4 linked regions of the Oreochromis niloticus genome follow. The protein of the gene in region 1 interacts with the protein of each later gene in a biochemical or structural test. Links are inferred from orthologs where the notes say so. Each region holds a gene or a part of one and is shown in the gene's direction. Other genes may lie near its edges.

What was found.
Region 2: the proteins of small ubiquitin-related modifier 2 (region 1) and rnf4 form a complex in vitro, tested with the Homo sapiens proteins (15 studies listed by BioGRID, with this or other methods). The link is inferred for Oreochromis niloticus from reciprocal best matches to the Homo sapiens genes SUMO2 and RNF4.
Region 3: the proteins of small ubiquitin-related modifier 2 (region 1) and zmym2 form a complex in vitro, tested with the Homo sapiens proteins (4 studies listed by BioGRID). The link is inferred for Oreochromis niloticus from reciprocal best matches to the Homo sapiens genes SUMO2 and ZMYM2.
Region 4: the proteins of small ubiquitin-related modifier 2 (region 1) and top2a form a complex in vitro, tested with the Homo sapiens proteins (2 studies listed by BioGRID). The link is inferred for Oreochromis niloticus from reciprocal best matches to the Homo sapiens genes SUMO2 and TOP2A.

What each region holds. Positions count from the first base shown.
Region 1 is NC_031971.2:26,017,973-26,025,986, reverse strand, and holds the start of small ubiquitin-related modifier 2, read left to right. Parts: upstream 1-5,011; 5' UTR 5,012-5,149; coding exon 5,150-5,170; intron 5,171-6,074; coding exon 6,075-6,206; intron 6,207-7,146; coding exon 7,147-7,218; intron 7,219-8,014. Other genes in the region: ADP-ribosylation factor-binding protein GGA3a, read left to right, coding at 929-1,128, 1,921-2,090, 2,220-2,330, 2,535-2,645. UniProt on the Homo sapiens protein: Ubiquitin-like protein that can be covalently attached to proteins as a monomer or as a lysine-linked polymer.
Region 2 is NC_031966.2:36,323,740-36,330,619, reverse strand, and holds the start of rnf4 (E3 ubiquitin-protein ligase RNF4), read left to right. Parts: upstream 1-3,878; 5' UTR 3,879-4,158; intron 4,159-5,264; exon of another isoform or gene 5,265-5,353; intron 5,354-5,537; 5' UTR 5,538-5,618; coding exon 5,619-5,630; intron 5,631-5,739; coding exon 5,740-5,881; intron 5,882-6,787; coding exon 6,788-6,876; intron 6,877-6,880. UniProt on the Homo sapiens protein: E3 ubiquitin-protein ligase which binds polysumoylated chains covalently attached to proteins and mediates 'Lys-6'-, 'Lys-11'-, 'Lys-48'- and 'Lys-63'-linked polyubiquitination of those substrates and their subsequent targeting to the proteasome for degradation.
Region 3 is NC_031987.2:27,445,694-27,452,957, forward strand, and holds the start of zmym2 (zinc finger MYM-type protein 2), read left to right. Parts: upstream 1-4,263; 5' UTR 4,264-4,517; coding exon 4,518-4,736; intron 4,737-7,264. UniProt on the Homo sapiens protein: Involved in the negative regulation of transcription.
Region 4 is NC_031973.2:19,732,899-19,740,215, forward strand, and holds the start of top2a (DNA topoisomerase 2-alpha), read left to right. Parts: upstream 1-4,304; 5' UTR 4,305-4,475; coding exon 4,476-4,493; intron 4,494-5,222; coding exon 5,223-5,369; intron 5,370-5,511; coding exon 5,512-5,602; intron 5,603-5,712; coding exon 5,713-5,776; intron 5,777-5,890; coding exon 5,891-6,036; intron 6,037-6,251; coding exon 6,252-6,349; intron 6,350-6,441; coding exon 6,442-6,654; intron 6,655-6,960; coding exon 6,961-7,134; intron 7,135-7,317. UniProt on the Homo sapiens protein: Key decatenating enzyme that alters DNA topology by binding to two double-stranded DNA molecules, generating a double-stranded break in one of the strands, passing the intact strand through the broken strand, and religating the broken strand.

The sequences.
Region 1 (8,014 bases):
TACCTCTTGACAGACACTTTTTTTTTTTTTTATCGTTTTTCCATATGATACAAATTAAATTTTAAGTCATTAGAGTACTTTGTATTTTGCGTCAACTGAGATAAGACAAAGATTGAGATGGATTATTTTCATGTAGCTGTGCTAACTGATTACCTGCTAATGGTTCAAATGTGTTTGTGTTACTGTGAAGTCAAATGCTTTTGGATTCCACTATTGATTATTTACCCCAGCATTTCCAGAAGTGTTTCAAGCGGAAGTGTTATAGGAACAGTGTTGTGTGTTTTTTGTTCTCTAACAGGCTAGTTCAGTTCAATAAGGCAGAGAAAGTCTTTCATACCACATGCTGTACACATGTGCCAAATAATGATAGTCATTACTTCAACTGATGTAACAAAAGAATTTCCCAAGTAGAGGATAAATATTTATGATCTCGTCTGTGCCAAACATTTACTACATGTTGTTTTATACATATGGGTCCATAAGTAGTATAATACTTAGACACTGACACAGTTTCTGCACACTGTCGTATTGTATTTTAAATCAGTGAAGTGCCAACTTTCAGCTTTTAATTTAAGAGATTTAATAAAAGCATGGCGGAAACTGTTTAGGATTTTCACTCATTTTTATACATAGTTCAGCGCTTCAGATCTTTGTGTTTAATTTGCATTGAAAAAATGAGGAGACAGACTTAATCTGGCCAGGAAACTACTTGTTAGTCACTTGTCCAATTACAGTTGAGTCTCTGAAAATAGGGGGCTTTGTATAAATTGTAGTACTTCTGTTAAACTCACCAAATCCAATCTATCAGTCTGCACTTAAATCACATTTTGATTGTTGAATGTTAAAATCCACTGTGGTGGTGTACAGAGGCAAAATTACAAAAAATGTGTGTTTTTTCCAAACATTTTCTTTGCGCTTTGTCTTTCAGTCTTGAAGCCACATCCACCCCAATTATATCAGAAGGAATACATGCATGGTCTGCTCCTCTGTCTATCAAGAGTCAGGCAGATGACAGCCCTCTGTTGCGCTCTCTGTCCCCTGTTCTACCCCTGAGCCAGTCGAGTCCAGGTAGAGGACAAGAGGTGTCCCTGGCCAATGTATTTGTCCCTCTTGATACCATCAAGCCAAGTGAGTTCACCAAGTGGGCTTTACTGACTATATGTTTATCTCTAAGTGAAGGTTTTTGTAGCCTGTTGGAGTGTATGCTCAGGGTCCCTGACAAGATAAATTTGAGGTCAAATCAGATCATCTGATGTCTTTCTGGAGGTTTTCAGTGATGGAAAAATGGTGTTTACTCTATTAAGCACTTAACACTATTTTTAGTCCTTAAAACCTATTGGAAATATATATTTCTAAAGTAGATTTTTCACTGAAAAGGACCAGTGTAAAAGCTGTTCAAAAAGAGCTTTATGTTCTCAAAATGTGAACATGTATTTTGTTTTTATTAGGACATTTTTGTTTTTCCAACCAGTAATTTAAAATGTTGGCTGCTGTTTGACCATCTGTCTACTTTGATAGCAAATTCTGTAGAGAGAATAATCACCTGAGAGATTTTGGGAAAGCATTCGTGCCTGTGTACTGCAGATGGTTCACTGACCTCCAGGTGTTTTTTGTCGAAACATAATTGTTAGATGGGAAAATGAACATTTCATCATTACTGATCATTACTGGTGACAGTGAAAAATTGAATAACAAATTGACAGTGAAAAACATATTAATACTGGAAATAAGATGGATTTTATCTTCTTATTGTGGTCTGAAATTAAGCATTGCAGCACGCACGAAAGGAACGATGTGCATGAAAGCAGAAACTTCTTCTAGCTGACTCAAATGACTGTGTTGAGGGTCGTGTGTACTGCCTTATCAGTTTATGAAGTAATCTCAGTTTATTCTTTTTCTTTGCGCTACCTACACTTTTAGGTAAAGTGTGCCCAGTGACAGCTTATGATAAAAATGGTGTTCGTGTTCTGCTGCATTTCGCCACCGACTCTCCACCAGGCAGGCCGGATGTGCTGGTGATGGTGGCGTCCATGCTTAACACAGCCACTCAGCCGGTCAAGAACATTGTTCTGCAGGCTGCTGTGCCCAGGGTAAAACATGACGTGCATACGTAACACTGTTCCTGCATCATGAGATTAGATTTTTGAGAAAAAATCGAATTTAAGTGGGATGCAGCTTCTGTTTGATGTATGTGGATGTCTCTTCTGCCAATTTTCCAGACGATGAAAGTAAAACTGCAGCCACCCTCGGGTACAGAGCTGGCCTCTTTTAACCCAATACTTCCCCCTGCTGCCATCACTCAGATCATGCTGCTTGCCAATCCTCTCAAGGTAAAGCTCAGCCTTGAGCTTTTCTTGTGTTTGTGCATTTAAGCATTTATTTATTGACAGAGCGCTTACTCAGTTGAGCTGTTCATTCAGTAAAGAACGGTGAAACATCTTTTTACTGTCTTCCTTGTCAATCAATATGAGAATATAATGGTTAATGGCTCAGTGCGGTCCTTAACTGAAACATTCTGCTTTTATGTCTTGCAGGAAAAGGTCCGGATGAGATATAAATTGATATTCACCCTGGGAGAGCAGCCATTCACAGAAGTGGGGGAGGTGAATGATTTTCCACCTGTTGATAAATGGGGAGCTCTATAGCTCTGTAGGCTGATTGCTGTAAGACTACTTGATCGATTTGCTCTGCTGTGGTCAAAAGAAAGCAAAATATTAAAGCTTTCAGGCAGAGTTTGAGTATATGATAAACTTTGTTGGATTTCAGAGAGTTGAAGATGGTCTGCTGATGTAGCACAAATACAGCGCTAATTTTATTACGATACCAGAGGTAGTCAGTGTGATGCAGTAACTAACAAAATGAACTGTTTGAATGCTGATGGTAGTTGTTTGGTGAATTTTAAATATTGTTGTGCTTTCATTTTTTTTAGTACCCCTTTGATATAATTTTAATGTTCTTATTTGTGTCTCTGTTTTATTGGAGAATAGTTGCACTTTTGGAAACAAGGCAGTCTTGCATTAGAGGTTAAAATGATTGTGAAACTGTGGTTGTATGAACATGTGATCGCAATTTGAGTTTCACATGATTTCTTGATGACTGTGTAAGATTTTTAGAGTTGAGACGTCAGGCCAAAGCAAACAAGAGCCCCTCTTTTGCTCAAAAATCACTCCAATATTGGCTGACTGGAAATCGGTCGCTTCCAGTGTGGCTCAAAACTACAACTGAATACCTTTCTTCTGGGTTTTACAGGAAATCACAGCTCAGCCTGTTATATTCAGCACTAATATTTTTTAGCATTGCAGTATTTATTGTCATGAATGTATTTATTTTGGTTAGTGAGGAAGATATCACAACTCCTAACGAAATGTGTGGTGATGCAGCTGTCAGCTGTATCCTGCATTCCCCTTATTAATAGATACTTTGAGTATTGTATTAATAGATGAAAAGGTTAGTGTGATTTTCAGAGTCTGTAATGTTACCAAATAGTCATACAGACTTGTTATAAACGTTACATTATTTAGCAAACTAGAGATGGGCTTAACGAGGAAATTTAATTCATGTTGGAAGAAACGGCAGCCATAGGTCAAGGCCTAACCCTTGGGTAACTTACCATGTGTTCATACAGAATTGTGACCTCTTTGTCTTTATCTTTTTGGAGTTACATGTGCTGGAGGTTCTCTACATATTTCTTATAAGTTTATTTATTTGTCATATTGTTAAATTAACTTGTCATTGCATTTTTTGAACAACTACTTCTGTGCATGGATGAATAAAGCCTGGGATGGATTTTATTTATGTTAAACCTTTTAACATTTTAACATGACTTTGTTTTTGTTTTGGGTTTTTTGTTGTTGTTGTTGTTGTTTTTTTTAGTGTTCAAAATCGGTGTAAATGCAACTGAATGTATTTTCATTTTAGAATTGTTATCTCAGTTCCTTAAATTAACTTAAAATGTCTAAGGTACTCTAACGGGCCACATTTTCCCCCATTCAAAGTAATTGAAAATACAACTTTTGATCCTACATTTATTTTGACATTAACTAATTCATTCCTTTATGTTAAGGTTTGATTTTGGAGTACTCGCCTCAGTTTTTTATTTTTATATTTCCCCACCAGATGGTACTGCTTTTTCCCATTCAAAGCAAGTGGCAAAATGTCACTCTTCTTTTTTCTGCAAGGGTGCTTTGCTACTGAAATAAATGTTGTTGGATAATCGTATGTGAGAGAGAGAGAGAGAGAGATCCCCCTTCAAGTCTTTTCTCTTAGTTTATAATGCAGGGTGTGGCCTTTTAATTCAATAAGAGTAAATGTATTGCATTTTGAATATTGTATATCCAGAATGACTACTCCTGCAATTGCAATCATTTTGGATATGGTTGAAGCACTGACATGATTGACTTGTCCATCTCCATATTTTTGTATTCCCCAAATGTTTATCTCCCACTAACACCGCAACGGTCTACGAGTTTGAACCTGGGACCTGCACACCATGCCACCAGCTATGCACCGCTGCTGATTCTAAGTTGTGGCCCTGGGAAACACTCAGTGGTGTATATGGACACAGAGGAACAGCAGCCTTATATAGGGATGCTCATTACAGATGGTGTTTACAGGTCAACAAATTAATCAGTTCAACTCAACATAATACTAGATAATATTTTTACAGCCGTTTGTGGGAAGTTGCATTTTTTTTCATTGGGACCTAGAATATACACTGTAGAAAAAATAAGAATGCATGAAAATCAATGTTTCTGCCAATCGTTAACCTATCTCAGGACCTGATAAAAATAATAGTCATATGCTCCCTGAAATGGATTTTATGTACCTCATGTTGTTGTTTGCTGTATGTGAAGTGCATTAATATAACCAAACAACGTCCTTGATGTGCATTTATTCATTTTGCAATGCCAGATGGTAAGTACGAACTACAGATACAGTGCCTCTACTCCCAGATTATATGTATCTAAACTTCGCTTAATAATTGTTATTAACTTGACGATACTGGAGCCATGAACTATATTGCTGTTAAGTCAAACGCGGGCTCTTCGCTCACTGCAGCCGACGCAAAGTGGCGCGCTAGACTGCGCAGTCGCAGCAGTAGCAGAACAGGCGAGACGCAGGCAGACAGTCCTCAGCAGCAGCAGCAGCCATGGCAGATGGAAAGCCCAAGGTGAGGATTGGACTTTAAATGCATCAGAGCCCATACAAAGTTGAATGTACACGGTAAACTGATGGAAAGCAGTTCGTACAATTACTTCGAATCGTATAACTCCAAAAACCGCTTCAAACATGCGCTAACTTTACGGTGTTTGTTAGGAAGCTAGCGGGTTAAGTTAGCATAATAAGCTAACGTGGCTAACCGACCCGATCCATTGGTGAAATAAAGAAAATATCAATATTTTCTGTAAAATAATTTTTAATCGGCACCTTTAAAATTTTGCCATCTGTATGACTAATGCACATGTAATGGGAAATAATCTAGTTATCCCATACCCGACTAGATTAAGCACCAGTTCAAGAAAAGTGAGTTAACGCTGAGACTGAACAGAGCAACATAAACGGTACAAAAAGGAACCTTTTGAGCAAAAGTCGTAATGTGCAAACGAATCTTAGATTGTAAATAAAGGGTTCCGTTGTACTGACTCGCCAGCCATAAGCCTGGGTAAAGAGATAAGGGTTTTGTTAATAGCACAAGTGGAATAATTTGAATCTTTGCTAGGCCGCAGTGCATCTTGTTGTATTGAAGGCCATTGTTGCTTGAGTTGCCTACAGCTAATGCTAACGTTGAAGTTGTAAATCCAGTCCTCATTGCTCTCGGTACCCACGCTAGTCTTCAGCTCTACGCACATCAGGCAGGCAGTTGTCGCGGAGGATAAAACAAACAAGCAAAAAACGTAAATCCACGCACATATTGTGAACTTAACTTTTGTTTGAAGACAATGAGGTATCGCTGAGATATGCAAAACACCTATGACTCGGAATTTGTAATGGCGGGCGCAGTTTCTTGTAAATCGTCACACCTCCCCCTTTTTTCTAAATAGTGTGACTTTCTATGAACTTGTTTTCTGTCTTAGGAGGGAGTAAAGACGGAGAACAACGAGCACATCAACCTGAAGGTGGCAGGACAGGATGGCTCAGTGGTGCAGTTTAAGATCAAAAGGCACACTCCTCTCAGCAAACTGATGAAAGCTTATTGTGAACGGCAGGTGAGACTGGGACACAATTGTAACTTTTTTTAGAAGTATCTTTAAGTGTATTGCTGGTCATCTGAAATTGATCATTCATAAGCAAGAGACCACGAAATTGACATTTAAAAATACATGGTTCTTGCCAAATCAGAAATGGGGTGGGGGGGGAGGGGGGTATATTTGGACATCCAACAAGGTAAACCTTCCAAAAAAATTTAATTTGCTTAATTTACTTATGCTTAGAATATGTTTCTGTATATCAGATGGCCTAAAATAGAAGGGTAATGCAAACATCTGTTAACTATGGTAACAAGGCTTTTTTTGCTTTAACTATATCCAGAGTTTTTGGTTTGACCCTAAAGAAGCAAATCTTTGTTTTCATTTTGTCATTACTCACATGGTACCCGGAAAAGTTTGGCGGAATCCACACAACCTTAAATTTATCTGGAAGTTAAGAGTCTTAAAAACACCTCAGTTCTACTGTAGACATATTAGGTGTGCAACATCAGTCCTCCCCATCTAATGCGCAGCACACACTGAGACAGTTACACCATTTTGCACATCTGCTATAGTGAAAATAACAAAGTTTTGCAGTTAAAACTAAAATGTCAATCATATATATTTAATCTTTACAATATTCTGGATGTTTATAAATTGTGTTATTTGTATACGTTAGAGCTATTTCTCATGTATGTAACTTTGTAATATATTGTATTTAATTTTAGACAGTCTGTTACGGTTCTAATGGTCTTGGAGCAAGTTTAACCACATAATTTCCTTTTGTCCCACCCTTTTTATTTCCATCAAATTTTGAAGGGGTTTTTTGGTTAAGCAGTCAGTAGGGAAAGATGGTTTTCCTGAAACAGGAGTCATTGCAATTCACAGTCGGTGTTTTAAACCCGAGGTCACAAAAATACCTTGTGAAGTTTAAAAGTAAACATTTTGTTTTTCCACTCAGGGGCTGTCAATGAGGCAAATACGATTTCGATTTGACGGTCAGCCCATCAATGAAACAGACACACCTTCTCAGGTAAGTCTACATGCTCTTGTTCTTGTGCACTTTTGGAATCACTTTTCGTTATTGTGAACTACGGCTGAATAAACCTTGGCCCTCATAGTCTTGCTACTTTGGCTCTTACATCTCATATTAGTTGTTACATGTGAACTCAATGCATTATGTTACAGTACTCAAAATCCACAAACCAGTCAGCTGTTTGGGGCATTCCAGTAAAGTCATGGATTACCACATAGCTAATATAGGTCAGGCCAACATGATCCTTGTTTGTTTTGGTTTGGTTTAGGTTTTTTGTTTGTTTTTGCAGTCCCGAGATTGCATTTCAGCTGATATGTTTCCAGCATATACCATTTACTTTCATGAACTCAAAGAAGCAATAATTCTGCATTACAACTGTACTACAACTAAAACAAGAAAGAGATTATAATATTTACTGTTGTATACAGAAAAAGCATAGAGGTTTACTCAAAAGCACAGAGCCATTATGAACAGATCTAACTCCTTGTTGCATCTGCAGTACCCCTTTATGTCAGTGCAGAACATAATCTTTTTTTACTATGATGTTTAAAGGAAAACATTATGTCAAACACTGGGTGATAAATCAGGTAAGAAACAATACTCTGATACATTAAGTATAGTTATTCACATAACTGCTGTGGACACAAAAATTAAAGCCGCCCATGTCTCCACACATAAATTGGTGTTTCACACAGCTGCTCTACTAAGACTGCCAACCATATAAAGACACAGCAACCAAGACCTTGTACTCCAAAGCAAGTTCAACATACTCAGATCTCTGTTTCACTCGCCC
Region 2 (6,880 bases), on another chromosome or scaffold:
ATATCGAACAGCCCTACTTCCACTGTTATTCTCGCCATGTTTGTATCAACACACTGCTTTCTGCAGTACAGTACTGTTCAGCTGTTGCCCATGAGGGTATGGTACCACCGTGTGCTCCAACACTGCTTCATGCAGACAGAGGGGGAAGTAATCCAGACAAGTTGGAACACCTGTAGGAATTAGTAGCACCAACTTTCAAGGCTGATCAACCTCCATTCCTGCAGCTTTACATTGTTAACTCATGTTGTGCTCCCTGGAAAAAGGCCTTTTTGTATAATTCTGATGTGTACATTAATTTTCATCTTGGGTAACCTTTTTTTTTTTTTTTTTATTAACCTATGGCAGTTTACCACTTACCTTTGTACCATTTCAACCTATTCACTGGACTTGAAACAGATGAATTTTGATAAATAACTGGAAAAACTGGGGTGTGTGTATAAATAATAATATAGTAAACCAAGATATTTTCACACTGTAAGCAGTAATTAAACATCAAGTTGTAGTTTGTACAGTAAATATAATAAAACAGCAAACACCTTTTATATTTATGTAAAGGACTTTTATTGGGAAAGGAGAGATCTGTTCCTGTGTGGAATCTTAAGCAAATTAAGATTCCACACAGGAACAGAAGGTTCATGAATGAGCTGAAGTATTAGCTCAGAGAGTGATGAAGGCCTGTAAACCAGAATAATCGAGTGTGCGATCAGGTTTTACGGTGTCTGTCCAAAAGCGGTGAGCTCAGACCGATACGAGGAGGCACATTGCGTGTTGTTCAATATAGTTTTATTCCACTTGAAATCTGAAAAACAATGTTACAAAGCCTGGAGGTAAATATGGTGTTTGACAGCGCTCCCCAACCCCCGGGCCTTGGACCGGTACCGGTTCGTGAGTCGTTTGGTACCGGGCAGCGAGAGTTGAGGCTCAGGTGTGAAATGTGTGGTTTTCAGGGTTTTTATCGGTTTTCAGCGTTATTTTGTTATCGTTTTTACGTGTGTTATGAATAAATCTTCTTTTTTTCAGTACCTGTACTAGTTTTATTTTGTTGTATTTATCCGCGACACCTTAAAGGTCGGTCCGTGAAAATATTGTTGGGCATAAACCGGTCCGTGACGCAAAAAAGGTTGGGGACCACTGGTGTAGGACACTCTATGCCCCCCTTTAGACTCAGCCCTGTAGGGATCACTGGGACGGAGAGTGGGCCGGCCGCCGTCAGCCTTCAGCGAGCTCTATAAATTAAACATTATATCAGACTCAGTTAACAGTTCATCTGCATATTTTGATGTAGCCTTACTTCTGCAGCTTTACTGCAGATTTTTCTGTAAAATAAACGGCGATGGGTGGAGCAGCTACAAAGTTTGCTGTTCTCCATTGATCAGCTGTTTCCAGGTTTCAATGGTGACTTCAGGAACAGCGCTGCTGTTTCGGAGGCTGTGCTTTCTTTCTTCTCACCTGAGCTCACCGTGTCGGTAACGCCTCTGCCTCTTTACTCTTCACGTTGTATAAACAGACTCCGCCTCCATGTTAAACTGTGCCAGCGTCATCATCGCTGCTGCCGTTATCAGTGTTTTCGGTTTAACACAGTTGATTATTCACACACTGCTCATAGATACACTTCTGTTGTAGTCTGTAGTCAAAGTTTATTGGTCACATATCATGCACTGTGTGACATACGGCGAAATGCTTATTGCTGTGCAATTCCCGCCCATTAAAAATATTCGAATAAACTCAAGAATCAAAATGATGAAGGTGTGCAGATTGATGTATTTATTTTGTTATTAAGTGTGTGTACAGTGACGTGATACGAGAGACACCAGATCAGAAGTATGTTGTTGTTGTTATTAAAGTGCCGTCCGTTAAATGAAGAATCGAGGATTTTTTTTTAAATAAGAAAGTTATAATTGGAGTTACTCGATGAATCGTTGCCGCCCGCCTCTTTAAAACTGTGGATGACGACGAGCTCAGAACACGAGGGGAGGTAAGAGGTGCGGCCCGCCTCTGGATGTTGTAGTTTCACCATACGAGTCTGAGTTACCTTCTCCTAAACAGGAGGTGAGGGGTCATTTTTGAACTGTACAAACACACCCAGATTTCCTTGTGGAGATCAGGTAGGGACATTCCTGTGACCTCATTTCCTGGTGTAACGCTTTCTGTCCTCCCCTCAGATGTGCCCCTGTGGTCGAAGCTTCAGTCTGGTTACGTCCCGAACATCCAGGAAATGTTTCAGATCCTCGACAACCACATGAAGATGAACCAGGTGGATCACATGACCTTCACCTCCACTTAGAGCTGCAGGTGAATGCACATCAAGTTAACTGCGCAAAGTGACGAGACTCACAGGAAGTTTGTGTGAACTCGGCAGGTGCGATCAGATTATCAGCTTCACCTATCTGTTAGATTTTCCTCGTACTGATGCATGGAGAAACGCCTGACAGGTACAGACTCACCTGTGACCCCAAAGACTGAATTTAGTCAATTTAAGAGGAACAAAAATTCGGTCCAGTCATCCTGATGAGACGGGTGTGACACCGAGACAGGTGAGGCAGAGGCGGGGCCAGAGTTTGATTTACAGACAAACATTTCTTTAAGTGCTTCAGGGAGTATGTTTTGTGAGAGGGTCTCAGCTGTGCTGTATTCAGGTGTGTCTCTCTCTCATTACCTGTTCTGTGTCCAGGTGCTCTGGCTTGCTAGGCGTTCTCCTGATGGCGTTCATGAAGGGCGGGCCTTAAAACAGATTCTGAAGGGCCCGGCTGGATGTTCCTCGCCATGAACTGAGCACTCCCTCTGCACCGGCTCACCTTCAGCACTACAATACCAGAAAGCACTGCTGGCAGCTTTGTGCTAATTAGCGTGTAGACAGGAAGTAGATGGCTGTTTATGTGAAGCTTTTATTGTGAAAATAATAAAATGTTCAGGTCTGTTTCCTGTTTCCTGCCTGTTTGTGCATGCAGATCGAGTCTTTTATTCACAGCATGTTTTCAGTGTGGCTCATTTATGACCAGAGAAGCAGCCATGACATCCCAGAATTCATAGCATAACGCTCAGATATTTCTAATGAGGACAGTTTCACCTGTTCTCATTTATGTGACCTGCTGAAACATGCCGACATCAGTGGGGTGAAGTGAGTTTAGTTTGTGGATGGGATTATGATCCGTCTCATGGACGCTGTTTCCATCACAGTGTTACTGAGTCCACTCAGAGCAACAAACTCCACAAATGCTTCTTTTCTGTCACCTCCTGTTTTATCAGATGACATTAAAAGCGGTGAAATGAGGTAATTTCTGCACTGAATCCAAAGAGGCCACAAAGGTGGAGCGGGTATGTGGTGATGATGTGAGCTCATCATCACTTCCTGTTTGGAGACATGAATCATCTGAAATGTGAAGGTTCATCTCCAGGCTCTTTGTGGAGGGTCTGGATTTTCCTACATCTGAGTTTCAATGGTGCAGGTAGACTGAGCGGGTCAGGCTTGACACAGTGGAAAGGTTCCATGTGTCTCTGAGTTTTAGTATCCTCATCAGTAACTACAAACAAAATAAATACAGTCATGTTTAAAATAAAACAAGTTCAATGTCCCAGGTCAGGTTCTCCTTTCAGGTGTTACTAATCCAATCCAATGTAACTTTGACGTGAATATAGTTTGATTTCAGCGACTGACTCAGAGTTATTTAAACAATTTCATTTGAATGTCCTGTGTTTTTATAGCCTTTTTTGCCTGCAGTAACCACACAGTAACTGTACTTTTACTGGAGTACTTCGAAGTACATGTCAGGTAGTTCAGTCTGAGTACATAAAATAAACTGTAAACAAAACCATAAAGACACAAAAAGGTCTTCCCTTCAATCAGTGGACGCTGCGATGCACGCAGTGAGGCAGCAGGGGGCGCCAATGAGCCGGCGTTTATGAACACTTCCGGTACAAAAGAAGCGGCTGTGAGACGGACAGTAGCTAACGTAAGCCTCCACAGTGTGTTTATTCGACTTAATTATTTTTTTACTCTACTAAAATGTTTGAGGCCGGAAATCTGTCGCTGACACGCACGCGAGCTTCACGCTAACGGTAGGAGCCACAGTGACGAAGAGAGAGGTGCTAACGGCTAAAAGTGAACTGCTAAGAGGAGCAGTGACGGTGACAGCGGAAGCTAACAGTTTATTGCTAACAGTAAGTAAAGTTTAAGCTCAACCGTACACATGTCACGTTTAAAGTATCGGTGTGTCTGAATCTACTGTTTAAATCCTGAAGAGCCAGGCCGTGTTTCTAATTCTTGTAAAGGTAAAACTCCATCATCATCATCATCATTATCAGTGACAGCAGGGTCACTCTGGGTCACCAGAAGCGTTTCTTTCGGCTCCTGGTGACCTCTTAGTGTGATCCCCCTGCAGCTCCACGAGTTTAGCTGGTCCTGGTTTTATGTATCAGGCTCAGATTAGAAATTCTTGACTTTCTGAACAGAGACGAAGCAGCTTCTGGTACGGAGAAAAGGTGCGAGTTTCAAAGGTCCCTCCTGTTTCCTTTTCCTAACCTCTTTTACTTGCCCTCGGTGGAAGCATCATTGAGGTAAAGGAAAGGTGGTTAGGAGACGTACGCTGAGGAAAGGAACGGCCTCACACTCGTTTCTTTTAACAGCGTGACACTGCAGAACATGGACTACAGATTGATTTTCTTTCACCCAGATCTCTTTTATCCAAATTGCATCGCTGTTTTTAGAGAAAAAAAATGAGTAAAACCTGAGTTTGCACTGGGTTATTTTGGTTAGCATCCTTCACGCTCCCTCCTTGAGTCACTAATTCAGCTGCTTCTGCTACCTCACAGAGTAAATCTGTCCCATTGCATATAATATCCAGATGCGGCTGTCGCAGCACCTTTCCTCTTCTTGTTTGAGGAATTCTGCGACTGCATTAAATTTCCTCCATCACCACTGATCCCAGCTGACCTGAAGTAAACACAAACCCTACAGTACCATAACAAAGGACATCACTAATAACCACTGATCATACAGAACCTTGAGCACACTTTGTTCATATAGATCATAATTTTAGCTCGTACAGCGTTCTTTGTGCAACACTACCTCAACAGGAAGTAGTTTTTATTCCAGCAGTGTGATGCTCAGCTGTGAGTTTAATCGCTGCTGTTAAAAACTATAAATCTATCAGCGGGTTAAGGAGGAAATGGAAAATGCAGTCAGAAGGAACATTTACATGATCCACTTTGGTCATGTTTGTTTTCATGCGTGGTCAGATGTTTTCTTTCCCTCCCCTTTCATAAAGGATGCTCCAGCGTCTCCTATGCTAAAGGAAGCAAGATCCCTGTTCCCCTATGAACAAGGATCAGATGGATTCATACACACCTGGCTGAGGTGTGTATGAAACCTGTAGGACTCTGTTCTTCCATGTTTATTTAGTTTTATTTTTTTAAATCTCACAGCATGGATTCATTAAAAGAATTACCAAGGGTTGTTACTGATTGGCTGGAGGGTATTGTCACAGGTGGATCAAAACAGACTGATTCATGTCTAAAACCGACAATCGATAACACTCCAGCTGTTACAGGTGCAGGTACCTGAGCTGTTTCTCTGGTCTCCATCCTCACCTGTGCCGTGAAGGTGAATCATTAAGTCAGAGATGAGCAGCTCTGTAAGTCTTCTTCTTCTTCTGTGGTTTAACCTGTTCAGCTGTCACACTGTCAGCTGGTGTTTACCTGGTCAAGTGTGTTAAGCTCCACCTCCTGCTGTTCTGTTTTCAGGTTCAGAGGAAGAGGCGGAGCACACAAAGTCCCCCGGTTTCTAGACACAACGCCAAGAGCGGGAGAGCTGCGAGTACCAGGAGGACGGCGAACGCCGACAGTGATCCCACCCCCCCAACAGAGACCATTGACGTGGTGGACGGTCAGTCCCGATCAGTACACTCAGTTTCCAACTGATCGAACAGTCATTGATAGGCCTGCATCTACAGGTGTTTTCAGACCAGACCTGACTCATCTAGACACACTCTCAACCTCTCGGCCAATCAGAGAGCTGCTTCTGGTCAGAGGGCCCGGTGGCGCCAGTGTCCAGCAGCCTCGCCTCTGTCAGTGTGCCCCAGGGTGGCTGTGGCTACAATGTAGCTTGCCATCATCAGTGTGTGAATGGGTGGATGACTGGTTGTGTAAAGCGCTTTGGGGTCCTTAGGGACTAGAAAAGCGCTATACAAATACAGGCCATTTACCATTCTTTTTGAAGTAAAACTGAAGAGAAAAACATGTTCAGACCTCACCGGAAGTGATGTCAGTAGCAGGTCCTCACTGCTAAGAGAAATAAACATACCTGAGCTGTTTGCTGAAGGTGACCTCCCACACCTGAAAATACAGTCAGTGGGTTTCCTGGTGTGTCCTGATCACTGACACACCTGCAGCCCAGAGGAAACAAAATCCACCTGACGGTTAAAAATTCATCAGAGGTGTGATTAACACTTGACCACACGTCTGACACACAGGTGACCAAAAATGGGACAGTCACAGCTGTGTGGGGGACCTCTCTGCTCCTTAAAGTCGTTCATGCTGGGGACCGCCAAATGGAGCCACTTTGGGTATAAAGAACCACCAGCTGTGAGAATCCAGATGTTTGACAGTGTTCATGCCTGTTTATCTCGATCTGTTTACCTGATTATTGGTTATCGATAAAATCACCAGACTTGGAGATGAAACACTTTGATTGTAAAGATGGAGCCGCGTTACGTCACTGATGTCGGGTAACGTTGAGAATGATGAATAGTTGAATCTTGACACTCGACAGTTTGTGGTTGTGTGTGTTCAGGTGAGGAGGAGGTGGTCGTGGATCTCACCTGTGAGAGTGGAGCAGAAGCTGCTGTGGTCGACCTGACTACCAACAATGACTCTGTGCTGGTAA
Region 3 (7,264 bases), on another chromosome or scaffold:
GGAGTGAGCAGGGTGAATAGAGGAGGTGTGAAGTGTCTGAGGTGTCAGAGGTGGAACAGCAGCAGTGGGGGTGGGTGAGTCTGCAGCCGATGTTGGAGACTGCCTCATGGCTGAATCAAATCTGTTGAAGAAATGATTCAGTTCATTTGCCCACCTCACATCCCTCCCAGGCAGAGAGTTCTGATGTTTGTGGCCTGAGATGGTTCTGAGGCCTCTCCAGACTTCACCAACATTGTTTTGCTGAAGCTGGTTCTCCATCTTCTGCCTGTAGCTGTCCTTCCCATTCCTTATCAGTCCCCTAAGCTCTCTCTGCACCCTTTTCAACTCCTCTTTGTCTCTGGATTTGAAGGCCCTCCTCTTCTGCTTGAGGACAGCTTTAATTTCTGAAGTAATCCAGGGTTTGTTGTTGGAGAAACACCGTACAGTCCTGGTAGGTACGGTGTTATCCACACAGAAATTAATATAGTCAGTAATGCATGTAGTAAGGCTGTCGATGTCCTCACCGTGGTCGTCACAGATCACCTCCCACACAGTCGACTCAAAACAATCCTTAAGAGCCTCCTCGCTCTCCTCCGACCATCTCTGCACTGTGCGGGTGGCTGGTGGCTCCCTGCGCACTAAGGGCTCATACACAGGGACAAGGTGCACCAGGTTGTGATCAGATCTGCCTAGGGGAGGGAGAGGTGATGAACTGTATGCCTCTTCAGCATTGGCATACAGTAAGTCCAGTGTTTTATTGTCTCTGGTTGGGCAGGTCACATACTGGGTGAAGGTGGGCAGTGTGGAGTCCAGTGAGGCATGATTGAAGTCCCCTGATATTATGAGAAGGGCTCTCGGAGATTGTGTTTGCAGTCTGCTGACCACAGAGTGGAGAGAGTCACAGGCTGCATCCGCGTTGGCCGAGGGGGGGACATACGCTGTTATCGATGGTGATGGCATGTATAAACAGAGCATACTAGTCAAGCTGAGTGTTTCAGAGGTCATGATGGCGAGGGGTTCACTGCTCAGTCAGAGAATTCTTGGAAAACTAGGCAGGCTTTCGAGCAGCAGTTTAAAAACAGACTTAATTCTGTTGCAGAAATCACAGCAGGGGCTCAGCTACACTTGTGAAAAGGATCATCATTGACCACAGTTCATCCCCAACCCACAGTGCAAACTGGGGGGAAAAAATAACATTTAAACAAAAATCCACTAATACCACAGGCTGGACCCAAGATCACTAATCAAGGAGGTTTATTACTGCACATATAACTTGTACACCCATGATCATCACTATCATATGAACATGCTTTAAAGCAAAATATCCAACATCTGTTTCAAACAGTGTCTTGCATCTTTAAGCAAGACCATGCCAAACCACCAGCAGCATGTATCACAGCAGCATGATGGATTTTACTTCTCTGGGAAGCTATTTGAGTGAATCCATATGAGAAGGAAGGACCAACAACACTGCACGCTTATGAAAGAGATTTCAAGCCAAGAGCCCTGGAAAAAGACATGGAGCTTTTTTTTAAATTTGCACTTTTTAAAATAAAGATGTTTTAAGGAGGGAGTTTGCTACCAGTTGTTGTTAATTAATGCAGTTTTTACGAAATGTGTTCATAAGTAGTGGAGCAGTAGAGACATAAAATCCTACAGCTAAAATGCAGCATGTATTCACACTGTACAACAAAGTTTAACTTCCAAACCGATGGTTTCCAATCACACCACTAACAAAGTTGTCAGCGTCATTTCCTCTGTGTGTTAGTGGTAATAAACTGCTGGTTGGTCAGTGTAACTCAGGGCAAAAAAAAACAACAACAAAAAAACGCACAATTGTTTATTAAAACCGCGTGAGTTACAGAGAGGCTGATTACATAAACACTGTGAGTTCACAAAGCCTGTGTGGCACATCATCTTCGATCTTTATCGAGGATCGTATTTAAAAAGAGATCATTTCAGTGTGATTTGCGCCTGTGAGAAACTGAAATCTCCGACATTTTGTGCAGCGGCGCACAGACAGAGGATCTGGCAACCAGACACTCAGCCTCATCAAACTGACTTAGAAATAAATCCGTGTATCTTCCATCCATTTCTACCCCTCATCTCGTGAGTTCAGAGATAGCCTGCGCGTAAGGAGGGTAAGGAGGTGGCGGTCCTTTTGTAATTTTTCTCTTTGATCTCTTTGGGCAGCCGACCCTTTAGTGAATCTGATCTGCACGTTTCAGTGTGACATTTGAACGCACCTGATCCGCCATATTTAACAAACGTGATCACCGGCTCATTCCACCTTTGAGCCACCCCGATTTTTTTTTAAAAAGTAATAACAAAATTACTACTAAACTATAGATTACCCACCTTTACATGTAATAATTTGCACATCTGCCTACTATAATCAGTAGTTACTTAAAGTAGTGTCATTTGATTTGGGCTTAATTTTGCTTTGTAAAGGTGTGTGCGGCATTTTTCTAACACTCTCTGGTGGGCGTCATTAATTTCCCGCCGCCGTTTGGTTTCTGGTGAGTCTCTGGGTGAAATTATGAGAGGAAACCCATGTTGAGCCGACACAGCTGAGAACATGAACTCTCTCAACCCGGATCCTTGCTCCTGATTGGATCCGAGCTGTGTACTTCAATGCGGCTTGTTTAAGCTTTGAGAAAGGGGACCCCCGAAAAAAAAAAAAATCAAGAATAACTAAGGTGCATTTCTAGCAGAACTGGCCACACTTGACCTGGGATACATGATATCCTTCGAGGATAAGGTGCGAGCATCTTAATGGATTTTTAATTGCTTCCAATGCAGCCACTGATTGGACCTCCTGCGCCTGCGCAGGAGGAAAAGAAAAGAGGGTGAATCCTAAAAGAGCTCTCACTCCGTATTTACTTCCGGTTACAATGAAAATAAGAGGAAGTAGTTGTTTTGGGGTTTTTTTAGGAAGTTTGAGCTCGCGGTGTATCATTTTTATTTCAGCCGTTAATTTCTGCTCAACTGTGTTTTAGATATCGGAGACTAACATCACTATAAAACTTAATACGTAATAACTGTTAATAGTGAAAATTACAGACTCAGGCCGATTAAATATAAGATTTATAATTACATAAACGGCTAGCTGTGAAGGTTAACAGCGGGGCAAAAACTAAGGGGTGATTATGGAATTTATACTCTTATTTGAGGTTTTACCAGCAATTGTTTACTTGTAGTTTCAGTTTATGCCCATTTTCAGTGTTGAAAATGTGCCAAACAAAAAATCGTTTGGCCGTTTTAAACTGCTTTCCTCAAGTATGTTAACATCCTGAGGTTTACATTTCATAACAGCTTACATATTCTGTTCAAAATTGAAGGATGCCCCAAACAGCCTATTGCTACATCACAATTAACTATGGTGGAAGGACATTCTTTAGTAAAGATGAAAAAACAAACAAAAAACAACAGCATTATAATAGCCAACATTTGGCTGTATACCCTCCCTCACATTTATCATGAGTCCACAGAGTAACAATTACTGACTTAATAAAACCACTCCTCTGAATCCCCTCTCACCGAGAACAGTGAATAGATATGTTGCAGGTAGACACAAACCATAAATGAGTTCTCAGAAATCCTGTTTTTGTACGTGAGTGAACGTGCCGATGACGCGTAGTGAGTGCTCTGCTCAGTAGATGATCTTGGATATAAACTTGTGCGCACGCGCTTCCGCGGATTAATGTCAAGGCACAAAAGTGGCGCTACACCGTTTTGAGCTCTACTCCGGTAAGCGAATTTCACAGCCGTTTTTTGTATTCTACTTTTACGCCTAATTGGCCAAAGTTTCGGGAACTTGTGCGGGGGGGTTAGCCGGATGCCCAGGGAGTTTCTCGGTACTCACACTGGGGCGTGAAGACTCATTAAGGGATGAATAAACAGTTAATTTGAACAGATTTGGTCCTCTCCGTCTCTGCGTGCTGTAGCTACTGCCGCCTCTAGTCTTCAGTATTGTTCAGTTGGCTAATGGCGGACGGCAGGCAGTGCTGTTTTCCGCTGGGGAGGAGGGAGGTGTGTGTGTGGTGGGGGGTGGGGACAGAATTGCTCCGGTTGTTATAGTAATGGGTTCATACCTAGTTACAGTTTAGGCAACTCACAGGATGCTCACTTAAAACACGGTAAGGGAATTTCTCTGGGTCTTGTTGTTTACCACCGCATGACACAAATGAAGCCAGTTCATGTGATATATGAGAGTAGGGCGCCCCTTGCGGTTGCCGAGTATATTTTGCCAGTGATTGCGCCAGGGTGGACTCCGCGTAGGGTAACTTTCCAATTAAAACCCCCATCGTCACAGGTATCGCAGAAATCGGGTTTTTTATTCGAAACCCGGGTCTGTTTCGCTGGCACGGACATGTGTGCGCCTATAGAGCAGATAATCTGGACAAGAACAGGGGTTGTGGAAGGGGGGAAACACGTTTTTTTTCCCTTTTTTTTTTAGGTGTTGGGGACTGTGCTTGTCAGTGGCACACTGCATTAGCCTATCTTGAGAAACATTTGCTTCTATTTTAATCTGTTTTATGCGAGTAAATTGCGATGATTTTTGTTGGTATTTTAACAATGGCGCAGTCTGTGTCTGCTCTCCTCCCCTCGATCTGCCGCTAATCCAATGGCTGTTTGCGGCAGGGGAGGGAGCGGAACGGAACACCCTGAACCACGTTTCTCCTGGACCCCAACTTGGAAGCCAGTCTAGCCTCTCCTTTTTCCCGGGTTATTTATGGAAGAGCTGCGCAGCTCAGGTAGTGCTGGTTCCGTTTATTCTCACTGATCAAAGTTTTGGACCTGCTTTTTATTGCCAAGTTTGTTAAATATCAATGCCGGGGAAGAGAAATGGAAGCTAGATCGGGGTCGAGTGATAGTCACCGTTGTAGCCGGGGGCATGGGCCGGATTTGGTGCTGTGGTGGTCCTTCCAAGCGGTGTTGATAATCAAGGGCACGACCAGTGGGACTCCGGCGGCCCCCGAAGGCTTCGTACAGCCTGTCCTTCATTGGGTGTTTTCTAATAATTCACAGGAGGTCTCCTCAGCTATGTATAGCAGGGTTTAGTTTTGCGTTCAGGTAACCGGAATGGGCCATTTGATTTTGGGGTTTTTTTTTTTTTGATTTTTTTTTAGCCCATCAGCTGGCTTGGGGATGCTCTGATGGCTGCGCATTACGCATCACTTCTCAGTGACATAAGTCTTATATAATAATCCCAGGCGTTTAATTTGAATATTTTATTAATCGGCTGTTGTCTGCACAAATACTGGCGCAAACAGCTTTCACATCTCCACCTTGTGACCTGCTGGGGGGAGAGAGGGGGGAAAAAAATGTCAACTTCTGTGGCTTCATGCGCAAACTGATGCAGTTGGAAAGGTAGATGAGCACCTCTGTGAGGTGGTGATGTGGCGCAGGCGTTGATTTAAACTGCTAGTCTTGTTGAGGTGTGTGTGTGTTGCATGGAGGCAGGCTCGGCCACAGCGCCATCCCACCTCTCCGTCCACCTGGTGTTGACGTTGGGAGTCAAGGTTGCATGTCAGAGCTCATTAATGCTGGGTCCTCGTTTTCATCTCATCCACGTGAATGCAGGCTGTCTCGTAGCTCTGCATTGCAGTCTGAACTGAGTCTAGACCAGGCTATTTTTTCCCCCCCTCAGAGCACTATTGAGTTGCTTTGCACATAGATTCCTCTGTTGGTGGAATATCAGGCCAGAAAAGCATGAAGCATCTATCTGCAGCACAGCTTTGCTTTGCTTTTGGGAGGTCTTGCAAATGGGGAATGGGTGCCTTTGGGTCTCCTGGCTAGTATTTGGACTCCAGTTAACACCATGGTTACGGACATATGTTATTACCTTAGCACAAGTTGTGTTTGTAGAGGTTAGCTTGGGTTATAGCTTCTAAAGGAAGAACCTAATTATAGTAAGTCAGTGACTTGGAATTCAATCCTTCTTTTGAACAGTCAAGCATATTGTATTGATCTTGAATGTCATTCTGTTTTGCCTTGTACTTCCTGTCACATGGTCACAGCAAGTAAGTGTTCCTTATTCGGCACTAGTGCTCTACAGTGGAGCAGCTCTTTATTAGCAGCAAACATATACAGCTCTGATATAATGACTCTGCTGAGTTTGCAGCAGTGGCTTTTAACAATGTGAACTCCTATATTTCTCTACCAAGCATACAGTTATCAGAGAGTCTTTGTACCTTGATAGAAAGTATAGGACAGATATGCAGCCCGTTTTTGCATATTGAAATTTTTTTCTTCGTCTTTTTTCTGCTTGGAAAACACTTGCAATGAAGAAGTACAATTTAAATAAGCATGAGATCACTTTAGTCATTTGTAAAGCAAAATGGCAGCCTGGCTGGACAAAACGGGGCATTTGAAAGCATCAGAGCAGACTGTGAGAATTTGTAGCGGGAATATATTTTGTCACTTTTTAGTTTTTATGAAGAAATTTGGCGAAATAATTTGTTTTTGTTTTTTTTTTCTGCTAATCTGCTTAAAAATCTTGGAAAGACATGGGATGGGGTCAGTCTTTGTTAATTATCCTGCAGCCGATTTCCTGAATTAGTTGGAAACTTAATGTGAGCGCACTGCTTGACTCCACATCACGACCATGTGTCTCACGTGCTGCATATGGTGCTAAGAGAATTGAAAACGATAGTTAAAAAACTTTATTTGAAAATCAGGTCAAACATTTTTAATTTCAGCACCAATATACTGTTGAGTCCCTTAATATTTGACCAAATTTAATAATTCAACTTTCATAGAGCTGTGTTGTCAACGTAAAATGTGGTAGAGGCAGGGTATTGTATGAGCATGCATGGCTCCCAAAAGCAATGGGTGACTAGTCTTTCCTTACAATGTGACAGAAGCCTGACACATTTTCTCTGGCTCAAATGTAAGTGGAAAATTGAACATAATCCCAGAGATGGGTTTCATGTTTGATACTTTGAGAATCCTTTGCAGGGAGAAACCACCTGAAATCTGGAACCATCACCAAACAAGGAGTTTCCTCCTCTGTCATGGCCTTTGCTGCAGCTGTATTGAGTTCCTGTTTGTTCATAGGGCTTTCTGCCTTTAGTTTTGTCTACAGCAAGTGAAGTACAGCTTGATTGGGTTGACATCAGGTGAATGAATTGGTTATTACAGAATATTCCACATGAATAACTCCAGTTTTCTTAGTATGTCTTGGGTCATTGGAGATTGTTACTGTGAAGCACTATCCATCAACTTTACTGAATTTGGCTGAATCTGAGCAGCACTGTATCCCAGTAAACGTCATCTGGCT
Region 4 (7,317 bases), on another chromosome or scaffold:
TAATAATAATTCTTAGTCCCTCACTGTATTCACAATGACAGCCAGGGAGGGGTGTTCACCTTAAAGGTCATGTTGTGGACCTCCAAGGACACAGCTGGAAATGTGCTGGTCAAAACATGACCCAGAAAGCAACCAGAGGAGAAAAAAAATCTGTATATTAATGCTGTGAATGTTAGACGTTTGCTCTAAGATGTTATTTTCCTTCCTAAACACTGTTGTCTCTAATAAAAAGTGTTGAAGGTTTAAATATTGAGTAACAGCTCCTTCTTCCTCACATCCAGCACGGCCTGAGCTACTGAGATTTTGTTTTCTACCTTAAGCCATTCACTGGCGGTCGTTTTATCTGTCACACACCTGGAAATTGACTGAGCCAAAATATTCACAGTGGACCTAAAGCTGTAATTTTGTTTTCATTTTAGTTCATTGTCATCATTTTTTTATGAGCTCTCTCTTATCCTGCTACTCGCAGGGAAAAGTCTTTGCCAGGAAATAATTACACACACTGTGAGGGGAATTTAATCAAATATAAGTAAAATCCAACAGAAACCACTGCCTGACACTTACTCCTCGTAAAGAGCATTTGGTAGCACTTTATATAAGGGCCTGCTAAGGGCATAATTTCCAAAATCTGAAATTATGATGTAATTATATTCACCCGCAAATACTTAGGGTAGCAAGTCAAGTTTTTACAGAAAATAAGAAATGATTATACTGTAAGTAATTTTAAGACACTTGTTATTACAGTTTTATAGTGCAGCAGATAGTTTTATGTTCAGTGGTGGACAACAAAATTGGTACATATACCCAATGCTTGATGAACCCCATTTCTAATAAAATAAACAAGACTTTTTAATTGTTCACAGTATCAAATCACATCATGATTCAGTTTTCTTTATATAGTGCCAAATCACAACAACCCAACTCAACAAGTCAACTCAAGCAACTTTCATTCAATAATACAGAGAAAACCCCAACAATCATGACTCCCTATGAGCAAGCACTTGGTAAAAGTAGGAAGGAAAAATCCCTTTTAACAGGAAGAAATCTCCGGCAGAACCAGGCTCAGAGAGGCAATGAATCTTCTCTGTGGTCTTCCTCTTTTCCTCCTGGTTTGCAGCTCCATATTCGGCATCCTTTGTCCAGTTTATCGACTATCCCTCCTCTGCACACGTTCAAACCATCTCAGCTCTGCCGCTCTTATTTTCTCTCTAGTCTGTTCGACCTGAGCTGTTCCTCTGATTTACTCATTTCTAACCTGTCCATTCTAGTCACTACCAATCAAAATGATTCCAGTGCAGGGTCATTATTAACTCCAATATCTTTGGCTTATCTTTTGCGGTCTATGATGGATGCAAAGCCAAAATAAAGAAAATTATCTTTTTTTTCCACTCTTGGCTGTCACATCTTTCACAAATCCCCAAACGCTCTCCTGGACAAGCTCTGACAAGCTTGTCAAGTGCTCAGTTGGAGCAGCTCTTTACCTGTCACACTAATATCCGTAAAGGAGCCCTTTCCTTGTAAGACACTGTTCATCAAGCCACATCAAGCATCTCCTTCAGACAGCTATCAACACGTCTGTGACACTCCAAGTTTCGTTTTCTCCCACCGTCCCCAGCAGTCAAGCTTCAGAAAACACAGAGCCATCAATAAATAAACAGGAAGGCAGGTGGTAGCTACTGAGAGTGTCCATCTACTTTGCAGGGTGACTATTTTTGGATGCTAAGTACTTAGCATTCCTGTTTCAAACTGCCCACTTCTGCTAGATAAGAGAAAGTCTGTGTGAGACTTACACAGTGTTAAAAAATTATTTGTCCTCATTAAAAGTAAAAAGTGCAACAGAAATATATAAAATCAAAGGTTTATGTATTCTATTAATCATTAAAGAAAATATTCTTGATATTAGATAGATAGATAGATAGATAGATAGATAGATAGATAGATAGATAGATAGATAGATAGATAGATAGATAGATAGATAGATAGATAGATAGATAGATAGATAGATAGATAGATGAAATAGTCCAGATATATAATGTGGAATGTAATAAATAATGTTTGAGTGTCCAAAAGACACAAAAATCCCTAGAAGGCCACAAATGTTTATTTTTGCATGTTGTTTTGTATGCATTTAACAAATGTGATATGTTGATCTGATCAAAATTCTGCACCCTTATTGTAAAGGTACCACATAAACTGTCTGTTTTCTTGTTTAAAAACAGTCTTTTTTAAAGCTACCATGTCCAACCCTGTGTGCATTGAAAGTGTGAGGGCAGCAGGCACATTCTTTTAGATTTCTTAAAGGAGATAACTCAATCTTTTTGGCTGAAAATACCAAGCAAAAAAATATCAGATAAACAGTTCTGTGTGCTCGCTCCTTCATTCATGTGTGCAGCTGTGGGTGTATTAGTGTACTTGCAATCCACTACATCGACCGGACCGAGGCAGCTCTACTCAAGCTCCTCCGCCCTATTATTACCATGCTAAGGTCAGATGAGTGGGCAACATAGCAGAGGAAGACAGATAAGAATGGTAGAACGGTTGGATAAATCAGGTTACTGCATTTCCATTGACTGATAGCCACAAGACAAGAAATATGAAGAGAGATGGTTGCTTAGAGCTGAATAAAACTGTGCTGCTGAAGTAATGCTTTCTTAGCATCACATATGAATCTTTTTATCCCAGTAGAATAGAGGATTGGGAAAAAGTGAAGGTCTATCTGATAAATGACTAAAAAACACAGTGTTGGGGTATCGTGCAGCTACATAGGAAGAGTCCAGGACAGAAAGGAACAATATAAAAGAAGAAATATGATATTGAGCACTAGACAGATTTTAAGCAGTTCCTGTATTTTATGCAAGTAAAAGAGAGACAAAGGACAGAAAGTGGCAGCGGTGGTGATAAATCAAGTGAAAGATCCAGTACACTCTAGTGTAAAAAGAAAAAAGAAGTGAGCACCATGGTCCCAGAAAAACAGAACACTTTTCTTGCAAGGCAAGTTTTGTACATTTAAAAGGCCACTCATGCTTTATATCCCAAGTGACCAAAAAGTGTCAAAAATCATAACACCAGACAACAAAATCCATTTCCTTTTTTCCCTTTTTCTTCACATCATGTCCTCTTTTTCTCTGCAGTTGGGGAGTTGGAGGAAGGAAAGTGACATCAATCAGGCTATGGGCCCTTTGCCAGCGTCAGTGGGGGGCTGAGCCTGCTGACCCTGGATCTCAGTATTAGTGAGCTTTTGTTGCATGAGCAAGCCAGTCCACAATCAGTGCACATCTGTAATGCATTTGAAAATCTTTCTTTTAGTTGAATTGGTATGAATGTTTTTTTCCTATGTGAGAGGAATCTCTTACCTGTAAAACTTTGTCTGTTATCTAGATGAATACATGAGTTCTGGGAAATATGCTGTATATGAGATAAAATAAGCATAGATGTTCAAGCTCCCCTCCTCAGATATGACCTCTGATTGGATTGGATTATGCAGCAACAGAATAAAAATATATAATCAGACCCAGAAGGAGACATACTGATAGTATTTACTCTATGTCCAATCTGATATGATTACATCTTACATCATTATTCTCTTGGAGCCTCAAATCACTGATGCTATTAGGGGTCCTTCGTTGTGTAATGACCTACCTAAGTAAATCTGTCTTGCCTCATCAGTGTCTTCATCTCTACTGAAAAATTTATTTTAGTATATTTTTTTAAATAATGTTTTGCCATAAAGGATGAGGTATTTTAGTTGATTTGTAATTTCTTTATAACTTCGTCTTAGTTTGTTCCTTTATTGTGTGTTTCTGGAAAGCGCATTGTTATGATAGTTACTATTATTATTATCATTGTATTACAGTTGATAAAAAGTAAAGATTCACGTTTGGAACTGCTCAGTCAGCCTTAAAAACCGAGAAACGTGAAAACATCAGAGAGAAAAAGCTTCGTTTGTATTTGTAGAACAAAAATCCAAGAACATTGAAAACAAAATAGTAATAATAAAATATAGGTCACATTTCTTCATTGGACACTATAAAAATAGAGCTGACAGGATATTTTTTATCCAAAACAAGGAAACAGGCTATTTTGTTTCCCTCCTAACTCTTTTCCTGTCTGTACTTGAATTCCCAGCACGTAGGTTACTTCTTTTTGAAAGCTGATTGGCTGTGATACAAGAGATGGGTGGGCTCATGCCACTTTTACCGTCTACGATTGGTTATTTAATTGAAAAAGAACGGATTTGCTTCTCTCATTGGAGGAATTCGTCACGCGCTCAGTAGTATGATTGGTCAATATAGCTGGCGGGAGATGTTTCCACAAAATTTCGAATATTCAAACTGGGACCTCAGCTCAGGCAGCGAAGGAACGTTTTAGTGCAGGCAGCCGTTATTATTGGGGGTAGCTGGGATTTATTTAGCTTGTTGCAAACCTAGAGTGTACTATATTTCAAACGAAGGGCTTTAACATTAAATACAAGAAGAATGGCTGAACCGTTGAAGGTAACGTTACTGTCGCTTTCATATTTGCTGCTAACGTGTTATTAGGCTTACGTGCTAACCTGCTACAACTGTAAGTTAAACTTCTAAGAAACAGTTAAAGGCACTTGGCTAACGTCGTGAGCTGCTTAATGTAACAGTGCCCGCTGTTTAGACGTAATAATGCACTACTTGCAGAGTGTTCCTTTTAGTAACTTAACAACTAGTCCTAACTCTTGGCACAGCAGCTTGTAAGCATTAACTATAGCTAATGCTGCTAAGCCAGTTGAAATGGTGTTACCCCTGCATTCATTCACCTCGCATTATTTATTGTGTTTGAAATAAAAACTGTCCTTAAATACTGAGCTAAACCCTGTGTCCTTGAGCGTCAAATGTAATCAGAGCCAAGCAACTTCCAGGGGGGTGTTTTCTCCCCCCCGTACATTTGCATTGTGTTTTTTGTGCAGTAAAACTGAAGACGTATATAACCGCAGGCATGCAAAACTGTCAGCAAGTAGCATTATAGATGATGTTGATCATTATATTAAGGTTTCCTGCAGTACAAAGATAAGTCCCATCTTCGTTACGGTGCAAGGCCTATAAAAGATATCAGTATATTGATATTATTTAAAGCTTTTCATTTATTTATTTTTTTTGCACCATGTGAGGGAGAATTGCTTTCGTTATCCATAATGACAATAAAGAGTGTTGAATTATGAATCTTAAAAGATAACCTTGTGTCGTTTTCATCAGGCCTTTTTTGAGAACAAGCCGGTGGAAAAGCTGAAGAAGGATCCTAAGCGGCTGTCAGTGGAGAGGATCTATCAGAAGAAGACGCAGCTGGAGCACATTTTGCTCAGACCGGACTCCTACATAGGCTCTGTAGAGCCTGTCACTCAGGTAAGAAGTTTTAAAATGTCTTTAACAGTCATGTGTAGATTTAAAGCAGGTTTTTTGGGGGGGGAGTTTTGACTGCACAGTTATGGTTCTTATTAAATGAACGCATGCAAGCTCCTTGTGATTATTTAACTTCTTTCATTAGCAAATGTGGGTGTTTGATGAGGATGCTGGACTGAACTGCCGTGATGTGACATTTGTGCCTGGGCTCTACAAGATTTTTGATGAGATCCTTGGTAAGTAAAAAGCTCTTGCAATTATAGATGTCCATGACAAACCTTTATTAAACAATGTTTTTGCTCCAGTAAAATGTAGTAAAAATAGATTTTACTTTCTCTTTCCGTAGTAAATGCAGCTGATAACAAGCAGAGAGATAAGAGCATGTCCTGCATCAAGGTCAACATTGATCCGTGAGTTGTGTATAACGGTGCACTACCAAGTTTAAGATATTAAAATACAAAGTAACTCTACTACAGCTACCAGCTGACAAATCAAGCGCTTGTGTATGTTTTTGTTCCTTTTAGTGAAAACAACACCATCAGTGTATGGAATAATGGGAAGGGTATTCCTGTGGTGGAGCACAAAGTGGAGAAAGTTTATGTACCTGCTCTCATCTTTGGACAGCTTCTCACTTCAAGTAACTATGATGATGACGAGAAGAAAGTCACTGGTAAGATTGATGAATTTGAGTGCTTTAGATAATACTGATTGTTTTCTGTCATTCTTAATGAGAAGATATTCTGTATAATTACAAAGACTCTTTTCTACATCATTATGTCCAACACAATTAATGGTGAAATTTTAGCGTTTTATTAGGAAAAAAAAAAACAAATTTAATGTTCAGTCTGTTCCTAACTCTATAAATGTTATATAAATGTTCTTCAGGTGGACGAAATGGATACGGTGCCAAGCTTTGCAACATCTTCAGTACAAAGTTCACTGTCGAGACTGCTTGTAAACAGTCGAAGAAGTGCTTCAAGCAGGTATGAAGGAAGGTCAATCTCATTTCCCACTTTAATTTTTATGTCTTGATCAGGGAGAATGTCATTTTCTGTTATGCCCATGTTTCCCATAGACTTGGTATGACAATATGGGCAGAGCAGGGGAGGCTAGCATCAAACCGTTTGATGGAGAGGAATACACTTGCATCACCTTCAGACCAGATCTGGCCAAGTTTAAGATGAGCATCTTGGACAAAGACACAGTGGCTCTGATGACCAGGAGGGCCTATGATATTGCTGGAGCCACTAAGGGTGTCCGGGTGTTCTTTAATAGCAAGAAGCTACCAGTAAGTTACTGTGATCTTTAAGTGTTAACTCTTAATGTTTTGGAAACTAATTTCATTAAGCTTTTCAATATATTATGCGTGTTTCAAATGTTGACTGAAGACTTAATTCACAAAGTTGAACCTAAAATCCAAAGCTTTTTGTGTACTTATCAAAAGTAGTCACTTACCTGACCTAAAAATATTTCTAGTAACTTCATTTAATGAAATATTTGATGTTAGCAAGACAAATCTTACATGTTCCATCCTAATTTGTTCAGGATAAAATGCATTTAAACTGATATAAACTGTATGAACTTCACACTTAAGGTTACAGGTTTCCGTAGCTATGTGGACATGTATGTGAAAGACAAGGTGGATGAACTGGGTGGTCCTCTTACTGTCATCCATGAGACTGTCAACGAGCGCTGGGAGGTCTGCCTCACCATGAGCGAGAAAGGTTTCCAGCAAGTCAGCTTTGTCAACAGCATTGCCACAACAAAGGTAATAACTCAGTGCATTGGATTTGATCTAATGCATATATTGTGTCTATGTGTAGGCTGTTGTTAAATCAGTAATTTAAATGTTTAAGTTTGTTGGAAAGCTGTGTAAATTTACATCTTTGAGCAGCTCTAAAATAGTTTAAGAATGATTGAACTAGACTGAGCTCTCTTGGCAGCCAAGCAG